Anolis sagrei: one gene and its partner. The protein of the gene in region 2 interacts with the protein of the main gene of each other region in a pairwise test. Links are inferred from orthologs where the notes say so. Each region holds a gene or a part of one and is shown on either strand. Other genes may lie near its edges. The genes, in order: KRR1 and RPS14.

Region 1 (8,233 bases), on a different chromosome or scaffold from region 2:
CTAAAAGCTTTATTAAGTCTCTGGCTCTGATGATTATATAGGGGTCAAAGGTCTTCTTTGTTGTGCTAACAGTCATGCTTCCTTCAATCAAATCTAAAGCCGCATTTATGTGCTGAAACACAAAAAAAGCAAGTAAGAGTTTTATATAGCAGCACAACTGGTTCTTAACACAATCATTAAAAGGGTTTACAGATTATATTGTGAATACCAACACAATAAAACACAAGATATTTTTTACATTTACAAATGCTCCAGGCCACTGAGATCCAGATCTGCCATTTCCAGCAACTGCAGGCAATCTTGTACCATATTAAACAGATGGTAGCAGAACAAATGTGGACATACTGAAGCATAATTGGTTAGCTGCCATTTAATATAGAATGTAATCATTCATGTCTGGTTTTTTTGTTTTGTTTTGTTTTTGGCATCCATGGCGGGTCCCAGAACCAACTCCAAGAAATTACAGGACTTTTCATTGATGTCCATTTATTGCAATTAAATTTAAATATAGAGGCAGCTTTAGAATTCCCCATTCAAAAGTATGCCAAATGGCCCTACTCATCCTCCTCTCTGACCCACCCCAATGCATCTAGGTTTGGGAAATAAAACGTAAACATAGGAAGCTTGAGGAAAGTATTAAAAACAGCCCTACATGTTCATTCAGTGCTTTTTGCACCAATGGCCAGCATTCTTTCAAGTATGCTTCTCTGTATTTTGGGAAGAGAGTGGCAAAGCTGCTTTCTTCCAGAAGTCCTTTAGGATTATCTTCTCGTTTAAAGGCTGGCTCTTTCCATCCATCAGGAACAGTAAGAAGTTCCGATTCATCTACTGTTAACAAAAATATATACATATATATTAGAATGGTTTTCTCTGATTAAGAAATGCAGGATCAGGGAACAGAGGCAGGAAAGACAGAAAGAGACCACAACAACTGTATGTTGAAGCTTGATGATGGGAAATTGCCACACTTCAAAAACGGTGCCAACTCTAATTAGTGCTTGGGTTCACCTTATTCCTCCCTTCTTATTTCTTTTGCATTTTTAGACTGTAAGCCCATAAGATCGATGTGTATTAGAGTTGTCATATTTCAGGGCCTGTCCCCCTTTTGTCATTCCTCAGGGATCAGCAGGCTGCTGCAGTGTGCTTTCTCGTGTGTTAAACTTAGATATGTTTTTGTTTTTTTTAAAAAAATGTGAACTGCATTATGTGTGAAACTGTATTTGATATGTGCTGTCTCATGTTTAATGTTCATCATGTTTAATGGCATTTTGTTATGTTTATCATGCTTAATGGCATCACTCCCATGGCATCCCAGGTCTTGGCTTTGGGCCCCTGAATAATTCTGACCTGGTAAAACTAATGTAATATATACTGTGGGAGACCTTTCAACCGAAGAGTGTAGTAAAAAATACTTTATACCAATAACAGTCAGTAAAAATAGAAGATCCCAGTTTGCAACTCTAACAGTCTTAAGCAGCAGGAGTTTTGAGAAATTATTTTCATTAGTAATAATCATCAGGATGCAACAGTGACCGCTCCAGACTCTTCCAATCATGTCTTGTTTTCCCCTCACTAATAATGATTTTAAAAGCATTATCTTCTTGAACAATTTACTCCATGCCAATCCAAGAGTTTTCAAATCAATTGTCTCCATGCTAAGTAGAGCAAGGAGAACAAAAAAGCTGTAAAGCAATAATCTATCATGAGAGGGCACATTTTTTTTGTCATGTCAGGAGCGACTTGAGAAACTGCAAGTTGCTTCTGGTGTGAGAGAATTGGCCGTCTGCAAGGACGTTGCCCAGGGGACGCCCGGATGTTTTGATGCTTTATCATCCTTATGGGAGGCTTCTCTCATGTCCCCGCATGAGGAGCTGGAGCTGATAGAGGGAGCTCATCCGCGCTCTCCCCGGATTCGAATCTGCGACCTGTAGGTCTTCAGTCCTACCAGCACAGTGGTTTAACCCACTGCGCCACCAGGGGCTCCTACATTTAGCAATAATTCAAGAATATGCACACCTCAGAAACATCAAAAATGCATGAGATTCAATACCAATCTGTTATTCAAACACAGCCAATATATATATTTTTTTGCTTAGAATCAAAAACCCAGGAGCAAGTTGGTGGCACATTTCTTGCCCAGGGTTTTAAAAGATGAAATGCTCCAAAATGGTCCACATGGGTGGCTAAGGCCCAATCTACACTACCATGTAATCCACTTTCTGAAGTCCCAATATGGCAGCGTCGATCCAGCCTGAGATAGTAGCACTTTTGTTTTTTTTAATGGTTCAACACTTTGTTTCGTGTACAAGATTATTAAAATATTGCATGAAATTACCTTCAAGGTGCAGATATGAAACATAGGTCCCTTCTACACTGCCATATAATCCAGATTTGCAAAGCAGATAATCCACATTATCTTCTTTGAACAGGGTTATGTGTCCACACTGCCATATAATCCACTCAAAGCAAATAATATCAATTTTATATGGCAGCGTTGAAGGAGCCTTAAATGATGCGCAATATGTATACATATGCAAATACAGGGATTAGAGAAAAATCCCAACACCTTCTGGCCCCAAGCATTTCGGAGTTAAGATCACAGATCTATATCCCAAAATATCAAGGCAAAAAATCCCACATTATCTGTGTGTGGACTCAGATTACCCAGCTCAAAGCAGATATTGTAGGATTTTCTGTCTTGATATTCTGGGATACAGGGCTGTATGGAAGGACCCATAATCATACCAATATCAAATTATTGCGCTGTGTTTCCACTTGATCCTGGCATGTGCCCTCTAGATGCGAATTATAAACACACACCCCCTTGAACTGCAAACCCCAAAATCCTACAAGGGCGGTGAAAATGGAACCATAACACTATAAATGTATGGTGTGGAAAGCTCCTGAGAAAGAAGGCTCTGCCTGAGGTCCCTTCCACTCAGCTGAATAAAATCCCACACTATCTGCTTTGAACTGGATTATATGGCAGTGTGAACTCAGATAATCCAGTTCAAAGCAGCTACTGTGGGGTTTTCTGCCTTGTTATTCTGGGTTATATGGCTGTGTGGAAGGCCCTGAGCCCTCTCTAGCCTGCCTGCTTTTGAGGGGACCCTTCCTGATCCAAACGAGCCTACACTCACCCTTGCTCGCCTTCTTGCCTTTGGGGCTCCTCGTTTCGGGCTCCCCCTTCCCTCGCTCACTCTCCCCGGGCGCAGCCATGCTGCTCCCACCTTCCTCCCCTTCACCCGGAAGTACAGCCGCTCTGTGAGCCGAAGAGCCCGGATGTTCTCATCCCACAATAAAGGCACACATAGAACTAGAAAAGTCAAGAGTGATACATCGTAGTAGAATGATGAAGCGATTGGAACCAATTTGGCCTTAGACTTCTTTGGGAAGGGGGACTTCAACTCCCAGAATTCCAGACCGTTGGCCAAGTCGACTTGGGCTTCTGGGAGTTGAAGTCCAAAATGCCCATACATTAAGAGAACCACAGTGTATGGCTCTTTCTGAGAGTATCTCTAGTAGGTTTGATGTAAACGACTGATTGCAAAGTATTCCACGTTTTAGTCTTGTTTTGCTGATACCAATGATGCATCTACGCTGTAAAATTAATGCAGTTTGATAGCACTTTAACTAGTATATGGAGTCATGGGAGTGTAGTTAGGTAAGGCACGGGCGCTCTATGGCAGGCAAAGCAAAGGCCTTGGAAAACTACTACTCCCACGATTCCATAGCATTGAGCCATGGGCAGTTAAAGTGGTATCAAACTGCATTAAGTCTACAGTGTAGATAAATCGACAGCAGGATGGCCCAATAATATCCACTACTGGAGTCAGATTCAATTGGCAGGTTTTTGTGTAGCAGGAGGGAGATGGGTTGTTGTAGGTTTTTCCGGGCTATATGGCCATGTTCTGGAGGCAAATTTTCTCCTGACGTTTCGCCTGCATCTATGGCAAGCATCCTCAGAGGTAATGAGGAGGGAGATGGTTTCTCAGGACCAGCTAGTTAGTAGCCAGCTGCATTAAATCACTACTGACCAAGGGCTCATGAGTTCGAAGCCAGCCGGGGTCGGAGGAAGCTCCCGACCATTAATAGTCTAGCTTGCTGTCGACCTATGCAGCCCGAAAGACAGTTGCATCTGTCAAGTAGGAAATTTAGGTACCGCTTTATGCGGGGAGGCTAATTTAACTAATTTACGATGCCATAAAAAACCCCCAACAGAGTGAAGAAGAATGAGGAAGTACTCTATCAAAGGACTCGGTATCACAAGTGGACAGTGAAGCGGCAGCTCCCCCTCTGGCCAGAATCAAGCATACCCCCATGAAGCTGGAATGTTAAATGCCTCTGTGTCTGTCTATATATGTTGTATGTTTAAATGTCATTGAATGTTTTCCATGTATATGTGCATTGTAATCCGCTCTGAGTCCTCTGTGGGGTGAGAAGGGCAGAATATAAATACTGTAAATAAATAAACCTCTTCTGCACTGCTATATAATCCAGACTATCAAAGCAGATAATGTGGATTTTCTGCTTTGATAATCTGGATTATATGGCAGTGTAGTTCGTTCCTTTTTTTTCTTGTCCTACTTATCTTGTCCTTTATCTTTACCTCTTCTAGGTTATTTATTTTGTGTGTATATATAACCAACTATCTGTGTACTGCTTCTGAGAAATTACTCACCTTTCACCGAATATGTGATTAACCAAATCTTGAAGGTCAGGTCTGCAAGAGGAAATGTTTTGTACCATGTGCTGTGTTTTTACTGTACCTATTAAAGTTTGAAGAGTTACTTTCAAATTATTTACAGCTGAGGTGTCAGACTGAAAGCTGGAGGGGACGTGTTGTAGCTTCAATGTTTGTGCAGAGCAGGGAATTTTAGCATGTATTCTTGCCGTGCAAGCAAAAGAGTATCTACACTGCATTTTGATACCACTTTAATTGCGATGGCTCCATAATCTGGGATCCTGGGAGTTGTAGTTTGGTAACGAACCTGCACTCTTGGGCAGCAAAGGTTAAAGACCTTATATAATCATTGAGCTGGAAGAGACATCGTAGGCCATCCAGTCCAACCCCTTGCCAAGAAGCAGGAAAAATGCATTCAAAGCACCCCCAACAGATGTCCATCCATTCTAAAACTACAACTCTCAGGATGTCATGGCTCAACTTATTAAAGCAGAGTCAAACTACATTAATGCTACAGTATAGTTACCCCTAGTAATAGTAACTGTGTTTTGCACAACAATTAATGGTCCAGTTTTCACTCTGGCATCTCTACAGGTATGGCAGAGAAAGCAAAAGATATTGTAAAACTACAATTTCCAGGATTCTAACATTGAACCATGGCATTTAAAATGGTGCCAGACTGCATTAATTCTACATTGTGGATGCAGTCTATGGGCCCTTTCACACAACCCTATATCCCAGAATATCAAGGCAGAAAATCCCACAATACCTGCTTTGAACTTGGTTATCTGAGTCCACACTCTGATAATGTGGTATTTTCTGCCTTGATATTCTGGGATATAGGGCTGTGTGGAAGGGCCCTATACCACAATTGCTCTCTTGCTGCAACTGTAACCTTAAAAGGTCTGCTGTTGTCTTCTCTGTTGGAGGAAAGATCCATAAGTTACAGAAGATCTATCCTATTTGTTTAAAATTCACTGCTACTTTCAGATTTTGGGGGAGCTATTCCATTGCCAGTATTCAACTGATGGTCTAAATCATTTCACAGAAAATCCTATATTGTGCTTGATTTTAGGCAGCAAATGCCAGCAAAAGCTCTGCGCAGGTATTCCACTTCTAGTCCAACACTCTAGTAACTATGGGTGCATCTACACTGTAGAAATAATGCAGTTTGACAGCATATATTTATAGTTTACTGCAGTGCCTGCACGCTGGCAGAGAAGACTATAGATATTCCATATATTGTCGATGGCTTTCATGGCCGGCTATAACAGAGCACTTGATAAACCAACCTGGACACAGAATATTATTTGAGAACACAGAAATTCTGGACCACTCTGACAACCATTAGGTCAGACTACACAGAGAAGCCACGGGTATATAAACACTCTACTTGCTTCACTGCTTCACTTCACTTGCTTCACTCCCAATAGAACCTCTGAAGATACCAGCCACAGATGCAGGTGAAACGTTAGGAGAGAATGCTGCTGGAACCTGGCCATGCAGCCTGAAAAACTCACAGCAACCCATTGTAAAACTCCAGCTCCCAAGGTTACATAGCATTGAGCTATGGCAGTTAAAGTGGTTCCAAATTGCATTCATCCTACAATGTGGATGCACTCTATACCACAATTGGCATCTTGCTGCCAATTGTGGTATAGGAAACACAAGGTTATTTGTGTTTCCTACTTTGTGTCATAAGACAGGACAGGAGTTTGATAAGCACATTTGTATTTGTGTTGCATGCAAACCGATCACTCAGCATATATTTATTCTCGAGTATTTTTTGACCTTCAGTTTCTTAGAAAAGGAAAAGATGCTTTAAAATACCCTTATCATATGTATACAAAACACAAAGTCACTTTCAAAGTGCATGTGTTCTCCTTATTCTTCCACAGTATGATGAAATTGTATGGACAAATCTCACTACACTGGAGTCTGTTTGGACAGCTTCAGGGAAGGCTGAAGTCAGTAGGCTAAATAATACACACTATGCTTTCATTATATGCCCCATCTAGGGCCCCATGTATACTGCCATATAAAATCTAGATTATCTACTTTGAACTGGATTATCTGGCAATGTAGAATCCATTCAAAGTAGAAAATGAGGATTTTAAATGACAGTGTAGAAGGGGCCTTAGAGAGAACATGTTTAATCAAACGACAAGTAAACCCAAATGAAGCTGGAGTAAACTGGGATTTCCCAGTTTACTCTGGATTAATTAGACACCTGGAAAGATCTGGACCTTAATGTAAGGTCAAGATCTTTCCAGGTGTGGGCCCTGTGGGGACTAACTACTGGGACTGCTTCCACAATTCATCGTGATGCTGGTTTTTCAGGCTCCTGAAGCCCCCTCCCCCTTCCCAGTCCCCCATTTGCCCCAAAATGTACCTGAGGGGCCTGCATGCAAAATGAAATGTCGGGAAGTTGGGGGAGGAAGGAGGAATTCTCTCCTTACCCCACCCCCCAACCTCTTGACGCATCATTTTGACACACCAAGAGCTTTCGACAAGGGCCTTCGCATGCTGCTAGGCTCCTTGGGTAAGTTTTGGGAATAAATTGGGGGGGGGGGGGGGGGCTAGTCCATGCTCTCCTGGATCAAACTCTGATATTTCTGGTTGACTTGGGAGGGCATATAGCCTGCTCCCAGGAAAACTCAGGGTTTGGGGTGGATGTGGGGACTAAATGCTGGGTGGAACTGGGATTAAATATTCCAGTTGCTCCTGGGATTTTCCCATGTTTGGTAGATCCTTCATAGAATCCAGTTCAAAGCAGATAATCTGGGATCAGATTCTTGGATAGAGGGTAGTGTAGGTCCAGCCTACGTTCGACTTTTTACTGTCAAGCTGGAAGATATAGGGATTCCAGACAGGCCCCAAATCTGTGCCATAGTGGGTTTTTTAAAAACCCGCTTTGGTGTGGATTTGAGTCCCCATGCCGGCCAAAAGCCCCGGGCTTTCTGGGGTGGGGATGCCTATATGCTATCCTGATTACAATCGGGATGAGATACAGCCATCCCAAAGCCTCCTTCATTTTCCCATAAAAAAGAAAGTTACACTTACCTGGCCACCATAACTTTCCTCCTCATGTTCTCCTGAAGAAATGACATGCCAGGAGATGAAAGGGGGATCCCTCTTTGCTCTCCCATCTCTTGGCATGTCATATCATCATGCCAGGAGGGCACCAGGAGGAAAGCTATGGAAACCAGGTAAATTTAACTTTATTTTTAGAGGGAAATTTGGGGTTGGTTAGAGGGGTTGGGTGCCACCCTGGACTTTTGAACTTCAGGAACCCAAAAGATTCAAGATGACAAATGAGTTCTCACCCTCGGATAGTCCTAGGACTACCCAAAAGTGAGTCCCCATGGGCCCAATACTCCATTAGACTCTGGACTTCCAGGAAGGTCCGAATCTTATGGGGTATTTAATTAATTTGGAATAACTTAGTTTTATGGGATTGCAGAAGCAATGTGTTTTTTTTTTGTTTTTTGTTTTTTACTGGAGGCATCATTTAGACACCCCAGTAAAAACCCAGACAGGTCCCATGTT
Region 2 (8,606 bases):
CCTTGAGCCCTTGTAAAATAGTAGGCCAAGACATCAGGGCATGATCCAATACATTTAGCTGTTCTCTGGGAAAGGGATGTAATTGACCCTGCATTGGAATGGACAACTGTGGAAGACTCTGAGGCTACATTAGGCCCTTGGAGAGTTACATTTCCTCCCACAAAAACATAAAATATAAAAATGATTTTGCCCCATATGCTTTTAGGAGTATAGGAGCATTTTCATTATGTTTGGTGTTTCTCTCTCTCTCCCCCCTATATAGATATAGATATAGATATATCCTGTGCCTAAATTGCCCCAAAAATGTGACTGAAGTACACCCCATGCCCCATAGTGGTCGCTTTAAAGAACTTCGGGACAGAAATAATTTTGCAAAAATTGTTTTCAACCCATGGGGAACTCAGGGGCCAGCCAAACGTGGTGCAAATGCTTTCTATACCCCTAGATTGTATTTGGGGGCATTTGGAGGGTGGGTGGGGAGAAATTTGGGGTCCCACAAAAATGGCCCTGTATGCCAAATGCAGCACACAGGCTACAATTTGTCTGACTAATGAGAGCTGTATTTCTAATGTAGCTGGTTTTAGTTTCCTTTTAGCCTTGCAAAACAAGTATAATTTCCCTTCTCTCTCTTCTTAATTATTTAAACTGTAAGCTTGCAAGCTTATCTAGGTAATTGTATTTCTGCCCAGTGCCGAGACCATTTTAGTACTCTTACAAATAAATAATGAGGACAGTGATGATAATGATTACAAGGAAAGATGGGATTAGGACTGACAACAGCACAGATGAGTTTCAAATCTTCCTGGAAATTTGCATCTATCCAGGATCACATTATCATTGCTATTTCTACTGTAATTGATACATCCTTTAAAATAATACATAAAATTGTAGAATTGGACATGATACCAAATGACTTTTAGCCTAACCCTTTACCAAGTCACACTTCATACTTCATGACTTAAGTCATACTTCACAGCTAAATCATATTTCACAGATGACCATCCAACCTATTCAATATTCTTCCAACAAAGGAAGATTTTTTTTTACAGTTCAGTTCTTGCTAAAATATAGGTGATGAAACCAAGCTCAATGAAGAACAGTTGATGAATCTGGGTTTGCTTTCCTTAAGATAAGATTGATGGTGGCTATGAGAAATTTCTGAATATCTAAAGGGCAATAGTGTGGAAGATGGAGTAAGCTTGTTTTTTGCTGTTCCAGGGAAAAAGCCCTAAGAACTTCCAAATGACTACCTTGGAAGGATGTGGATTTTTTTAAAATTGGCTTTTAAAAACAGAGGTGACAGGCAGTTGTCACAGATGCTTTAGTTGTGGTTTCCTGCACTGGTGGGGTGGGGGGTAGGGTGGACTAGAAAGCTATTAGCATCGTCTACTCTACACTTAAAGAGTAGAGACATCACACTGGCAACAAAGATCCGCATAGTCAAAGCCATGGTATTCCCTGTAGTAACCTACGGATGTGAGAGCTGGACCTTAGGGAAGGCTGAGCGAAGGAAGATAGATGCTTTTGAACTGTGGTGTTGGAGGAAAGTTCTGAGAGTGCCTTGGACTGCGAGAAGATCCAACCAGTCCATCCTCCAGGAAATAAAGCCCGACTGCTCATTGGAGAGATGGATACTAGAGACAAAGTTGAAGTACTTTGGCCACATCATGAGGAGACAGCAAAGCTTAGAGAAGACAATTATGCTGGGGAAAGTGGAAGGTAAAAGGAAGAGGGGCCGACCAAGGGCAAGATGGATGGATGGCATCCTTGAAGTGACTGGACTGACCTTGAAGGAGCTGGGGGTGGTGACGGCCGACAGGGAGCTCTGGCGTGGGCTGGTCCATGAGGTCACGAAGAGTCGGAGACGACTGAACGAATGAACAACAACACTCTACACTTTCTTATAATTTACATTTATTAGTTTGGATTCTACTTTTCAGAGCAGCAAAACACAAGCATATTCCATATTCCCTGACCTTTAGATATTTGTGGATTTGTAATGTCTCAATTTTCTCCTCCAAATTACAAACCCATCTTCCTCAATTAGTCCTCGAATTGCTGCTTCCAGTTTCTTTACCCTCCTAGACACTCTCCTCTGGATGACTTCTGGCTTGGTAATATCCTCCTTAAATTGTTCAGGACTAGACATAGTACTTCCAATCCAACCAAAGCAAAATACAGTGATATTACTGCCTTTGAACCAGGCACTATACTGTTCTTTATCCAGACTATAAAAGCACTGTTTTTGCTACTGCATCACACTGTCCACTTAACTCCTGTTTAATCTATGATCTAAGACCCCTAGATTCTTTTCACATATACAGTACTGTTGTCAAGCCAGATGTCATTAATTTTCAATTTATGCACCTAATATTATGCAGCTAATATTTCCAAACTTATGTTGAAATTCATTTTCTTTCCTGGTCCCATTCTCTAGACTCTCAAGGTCATCTTGAATCCTAATTAGGACTCCGCTCAGTTTAGTGTCATCTGCAAATTTGATGAGTGGCCTCTGTTCCTTCACCCAAGTCTTTTATAAAGATGTTGAACAAAACCTGCAGTGCCCCATTTCTCTCTGGGGTGATAAGACACCACTAGCAAGCACTACTGGTTTGGTTTGCCAATCAGCTACAAATCTAAGCACAACAGCACCCAGGAATATCAGAAGGAATGCTATTGTGGGGAATGATATAACCTTGTTGAAAGCCTTACTGAAATGAAGGTGTGCTATATACCTGTCCCTGATTTAACAAGCTTCTAACTCTGTCAGAAGTACGATTAGTCTGACATGAGTCGTTTTTGAGAAATCCATAATGGCTTTTAGCAATCACAGACTGTTTGAAACTTTTTATTTATTGATGGCGTTTACTTTTTGGCGGTTGCCATAATCCTTTTTGAAGATGAGCGCCTCCAGTCTGCAAGGCCCCCATTTGTTATTCAATAATTTTCAAGTATTATAGATAAATGCTTTGAAGCTAACATTGCAAATTCATTTACTACCCTCAGGTAGTTCATTTAGCCACGCATACCTGAATTTACTTAAAGAGGTTAAGTAGTCCCGCCCCAATTCTTTTAATATTTGATATAGTATACTCAGGAATTGGAAGTTTTGTCTCTTTCGTAGGAAGTCTATACTTCTTTGTGCATTCTTTTATTTCAATTTCCCTGCACCATATTGTTTTTTAAAAATCATGTTTATTGTCATCCTCCTTTTGGAAAAGCGGCAAAATAGCTATCAAGCCGTTTGTGGAAGCCAGGATTCATCTTGACAGCTACATATTTGAGCGTGCTTATCAAGTCTGTTAGTTATATGATGGCGTAGTAAACAAACTACCTTCAGCTGACACAAAGGACAGAACTTCTTTTTATCATGGACAAATGAAACATTTGCTTATTTGTGGATACCAACTTTGTTTTGACCAGGGACCACTTTCCAACATTAGTACCGAAAGGCTTACGAATCAGTTTTTGGTCAACTTTAGATTCGGTTTGGTTATTTGGACTGCTGAGTCAGAAAATTGCATTGGATAGACCACATCAGCTCTATTTTCCGATACAGAATATATGCCATCCAGTAGTCGCCATCTGCTTGCTCACAGGAAACCATATTTAATAAGCCTCAGCACGATAAGAGGTTTTTGCAAGACCAGTTGCTCTTGTTGCAACAGCGTAGTAACAGTGAGGCCATGGACCATATTTTAATTCTTGTGGACCACTGTTGGTCCACAGACCACAGGTTAGGAACCACTGAGTTAACTGATAGATTTTCAGGACTCAGAAAATAGGCTTGATAGAATCCTTGAATTAGAATGTGCTTCCTTGGAAATAAGCGAGAGGGCTTCCTCAATATTTCTTTTCTCTTTTTGTCAGGAGTGACTTCAAGTCATTCCTGGTGTGAGAGAATTAGTCTGCAAAGACGTTGCTCAAGGGACACCCGGATGTTTTACCATCCTTTGGGAGGTTTCTCTCATGTCCCCGCATGAGAAGCTTGTGCTGACAGACAGGAGGTCATCCCACTCCCCGAATTTGAACCTACAACCTATTGGTCAGGAGTCCTGCTGGCACAAGGGTTTAACCCATTGTGCCACCAGGGGCTCCTTACAATTGTGCTGATAACAATTCTAGCTTTAGGACTAATAGCTTGAGCGTGTTTAGCCTAAAGACCTTTGAGAACTGTTTTGTTGTAGTTTTTTTTTTGGGCTATATGGCCATGTTCTAGAGCAGTGGTTCTCAACCTGGGGTCCCCAGATGTTTTTGTCCTTCAACTCCCAGAAATCCTAACAGCTGGTAAACTGGCTGGGATTTCTGGGAGTTGTAGGCCAAAAACATCTGGGGACCCCAGGTTAAGAACCACTGTTCTAGAGGCATTCTCTCCTGACGTATCGCCTGCGGATGCATCTATGGCAAGCATCCTCAGAGGTTGAGATCTCACAACCTCTGAGGATGCTTGCCATGGGTTCAGGCGAAACGTCAGGAGAGAATGCCTCTAGAACATGGCTATATAGCCCGAAAAGCCCTACAACAACCCAGTGATTCCAGCCATGAAAGCCTTCGACAATACATTTGTAAACTACTCATCTGTACTGTTATTAATGGACAATATGATTCTTGCTGGAACCAGACATGAATTCTTACAAATGGGATGGCAATGTGGTACTAAAAACTCATCTGATTGTGTGTCAGCCCTACAATTGCCCATTTTCATCCATCATCAGTCCTCCTGGCACAAGTTTAACCTATCGCACCACCAGAGGCAGGTTTCTCCTCGAGATGGAGACATGAACTCACTAAGGAGGTTTTCAGGCAGCAGGCCTTAAACCTGGGTTTGAAAGATGTCCCTGTTAACAACTTCACTGTTGAAATCGACTTCAGTGAGGAGCCAACTCTTTTCCTGCAGGCACCAATAATACAAGCCCCTCTCGCTATGCTGTAAGTGGAACCAGCCATCTTCAAGCAGAACGGAACAAGGCCTTTGGAGGGAGTAGACGCGATGGCGTCAGGCGCACTGCTGGAACGCTCCCTGTGAAGCGACCGCCGCCATGTTGAGTGAGGGCCTCCTCACCTCTTTCTCTCTCGCCCCACTTTACAAGGCTCTATGAACCTCATTTCAGTGCAGCTGGGCCTTTCTTCCTCCGCCTAGAGCGGCGGACACAGTGTCATCTCTTCTTAGTAACGATACGAGCCAAGACACTACGCCAGCTCTTTGGAGGAAGTAGCCCTCTCTCCCCGCCCTCCCAACGGAGAGTATTGCTTCCGGGTGAGACGAGGCGACCTCTCTTCCCGTGACGCTGGCCTCTTCCTTTCCGGTGCTGGTTGCCGCCTGCGAGGACACTCGAGTAAGTGGCTGAGGGAAGGGAAAAGAAGGGGGGCGCCTTCCATCCGCCGCCATCCTCCTCAGCCGGGGCTCCCAGGGCCCCTCTTTGGAGCTTTTGGGGTGCACCCCTTCTAAGAGAAGGGAGGGCCGCAATGGCCGGGCGCTTAATGGGGGATCGGGGGGAGAAAGAGGACCCCGCCATTCTCTGCCTGTCGGGCCTGCCTTTGAGTAGTCTCCTCCACTCGAAGCAGCCGTGTAGGCCTTGCGAGGTGGGCGCCCCTTCTTTCGAGCCGGGGTTTGGGCCTCTTACCTGTATTGAAAGGCTTTGCAGTACATAAATATGGAGACCTGAGGCTTTTCTCAGGCCACCCGCAAGAGTCAGGACTTGGATGGAACACATGTATTTTCCCATTCATACATCAAAATATAGCTTATGAGAACTATTCAGCAGTGGAACTCTGCCCCAGAGTGTGGTAGCTTTGGAAGCTTTTAAACGGAGGCTGGATGGCCATCTGTCGGGGGTGCTTTGAATGCAATTTTCCTGCTTCTTGGCAGGGGGTTGGACTGGATGGCCCATGAGGTCTCTTCCAACTCTAGGATTCTATGAGATGGGGCCCAAGCACAGAATTCATTTATGTTTCATCTACACCAGGCCTAGGCAAACTTGGGCCCTCCAGGTGTTTTGGACTTCAACTCCCACCATGCCTAACAGCCTCAGGCCCTTTCCTTCCCCCATTTAGCTGCTTAAGCCGCCTAAGGCTGTTAGGAATGGTGGGAGTTGAAGTCCAAAACACCCGGAGCCCCAAGTTTGCCCACGCCTAATCTACACCTTACAGATAATTTTAAAACAATTATTTTGTGCATGAAACAGTGGTGCATACGTTGAACCACCAGAAAGAAACAGTGTCACTGTTCTTAGCCACCGCTAGGCACAATTTTAAGAGTAGTTTAGGATGCTTAACCTATTTTCAGCGTATATTATTTTGGCTCTGATTAGACAGTAAACTAGGTCCCTGCACTTAGTCGATACTTGTACTTGAAAACTATCCATAAGTCCTAAAGTCTACTACATTTGTAATGCCGCTATTCCAACACATGTAGATGGCTTGCATTTCCATACAAGGCCATGGGGTTTAAGTAATTGCAGGAATTGTGGTCCTCAATTCTCAATTTAAAAGTTTTTCCTATTCCAGAGTTGGAAATTTATGATAGTCTAAAGACCAGTCTGTGCATTGCTTTGTTTCCACTTCAAATACTTCCTATACATCGGCAAATGATTGCATTTCTAATTATTTAGCATTTATTGAACTAAAAAAGAAATGATCACAGTAATGTTTTTATTTATTGTAGAAAGGATATTTTGGTTTTCGATCTAGAAAAGAATACATAATAGTCACAGGGAGAATTCAAGACAGATAAAGGCCTCTAATATTAGACTGGACATAACTGATGCTATTTGGTTGTTAGAATTCATAACCATATTTGTAAAAGGGGAAAGGTTTATTATATGATCCAAAGAGAAACCAGAGTATACTTATATCCATATTTGTGACAAATAGTAAAGGTTTTGATTTGATATCATATGGTTTGGGAACTTAGTTTAAAATTTTAAATATGGCAACACTGAAGTTTCTGTGTTCTACATGAGATGCTTATTTCTTGTTCTGAGGATGCATCTGCACTGTAGATTTATTCAGTTCAGCATTACCTTATCTACCATGACTGAATGCTGGGACTTGTCTTTTTGCAATGTCTTCAGTATTCTCTGCCAAAGAGAGCTGCTGCCAGCCAAATGACAAATTCCATACCATTGAGCCATGACCATTAAGTTGGTGTTAAACTGCACAAACCATGGGCAGCCAGATATATTTCCTGTCTGTAGTGTTCCTTATTCTTAAAATGTTGGATTGAAAATGAAGTTGGTGGAATAACCTCTAGCAGTCTTCGCCAGTGTTTTGTTCATAATGACTTGCCTGGGATACACTGAAGTGTACAGACTTCATAGCAGGCTCATATGATAAGCGTGGCAAAAGGTGGACTTGATGGCCCTTGTGGTCTCTATGGCACTAAGTGTTATGGCCAGAGGAAAGAAATTCACCACAGGTGTGCTGATTCCCTGCCTAAATATCTTAAAGGCACCAGATCCTGTCTGATCTTGGATGCTAAGCAGTGCTATCCCAGGTTGGAACTTGGGTGGGTGGACAGCAGTGAATATCATGTGCTGTAGGATATATTTCAGAAGGAAGAATTGGCAAAATCTCTGAGTATTCCTTGCCTAAGGAGGCCATATGAAATTCCTGTGCTTGCCATAATCCAACAGGTGATTTGAAGGCATATACACACATACGATGCTTCCAGTGCATCCTCATTTTAAATGTAATGTGCTGTGGGGAGTACTGAATTTTCTAACACTATTTGATTTGTGCTGTCTTTGCCATGCAAGTAAATAGCATTCCAAGATAAAATAATACTGAATTCTTCAAACCTCTAGCTAGGATGCTGGATATTACACAGTTTTGCCAAAATAGATTTTTTTAATGAAGACCATGATATTAATTGGAATTCGCATCCTATGTTTAATGAAACCGACATTCAAAATATTTAGGTGCAAGTTTACTGCAAATTACTATTATCTTTAGGTCCATACTGTTTCAGGTTTAAAAGACATTAAAACTCTTAGATTCACTGGGTATGTTTTAATCATGTCTGCAACCTTACTAAACCATGGTGTAATTAAATGCTATTCAGCATGTTTCCTCTTGGATGTATAAGAAGAATAATAATTCTTCTTGATACTGGACCCACTGTTTTGCCTCTCTTTGTTTTTTGCCAGCAGAGCAAGATGCTCACTGTGGAGACTGTTACCTTTTTTTTTTCTCAGCTGATGAGTTTTTTGCTCTCTCTCTTGTCTGTATTATAGAAAAACATACTGTATATTGGAATATTAAATTCCCACATCATACAGTGATTTCCTTTTGCTCTTCTGGAAGGCAAAGCTGGTTGTTTTTTTGTTTTTTTTCTGGGGGGGGGGTGACTGAATTGCTGGGACTGATTCATGTAAAAAGGAGTGTCTCTCAGCATGATTCCCCTGTTGGCATTCTTTAATATGGCCTGCTTATAAGAATTGGACCTGTATTAGTCAGCTTGCATCTTGATCTAATGCAGCATTATAAATAGTACTGCTCCAAGAAAAAGTACTTGGACTTATGCCTCCTCCATATCTTCTTGCTTTCTTACACAGAAATGGCACCTCGTAAGGGCAAGGAAAAGAAGGAAGAGCAGGTCATCAGTT

The links.
Region 1: the proteins of RPS14 (region 2) and KRR1 interact in binary tests that used the Homo sapiens proteins (3 or more experiments, as listed by UniProt). The link is inferred for Anolis sagrei from reciprocal best matches to the Homo sapiens genes RPS14 and KRR1.

The regions. Positions count from the first base shown.
Region 1 is NC_090025.1:146,261,070-146,269,302, forward strand, and holds the start of KRR1 (KRR1 small subunit processome component homolog), read right to left. Parts: upstream 3,273-8,233; 5' UTR 3,220-3,272; coding exon 3,141-3,219; intron 829-3,140; coding exon 653-828; intron 113-652; coding exon 1-112. UniProt on the Homo sapiens protein: Part of the small subunit (SSU) processome, first precursor of the small eukaryotic ribosomal subunit.
Region 2 is NC_090022.1:85,397,839-85,406,444, forward strand, and holds the start of RPS14 (small ribosomal subunit protein uS11), read left to right. Parts: upstream 1-5,227; 5' UTR 5,228-5,336; intron 5,337-8,555; 5' UTR 8,556-8,557; coding exon 8,558-8,606.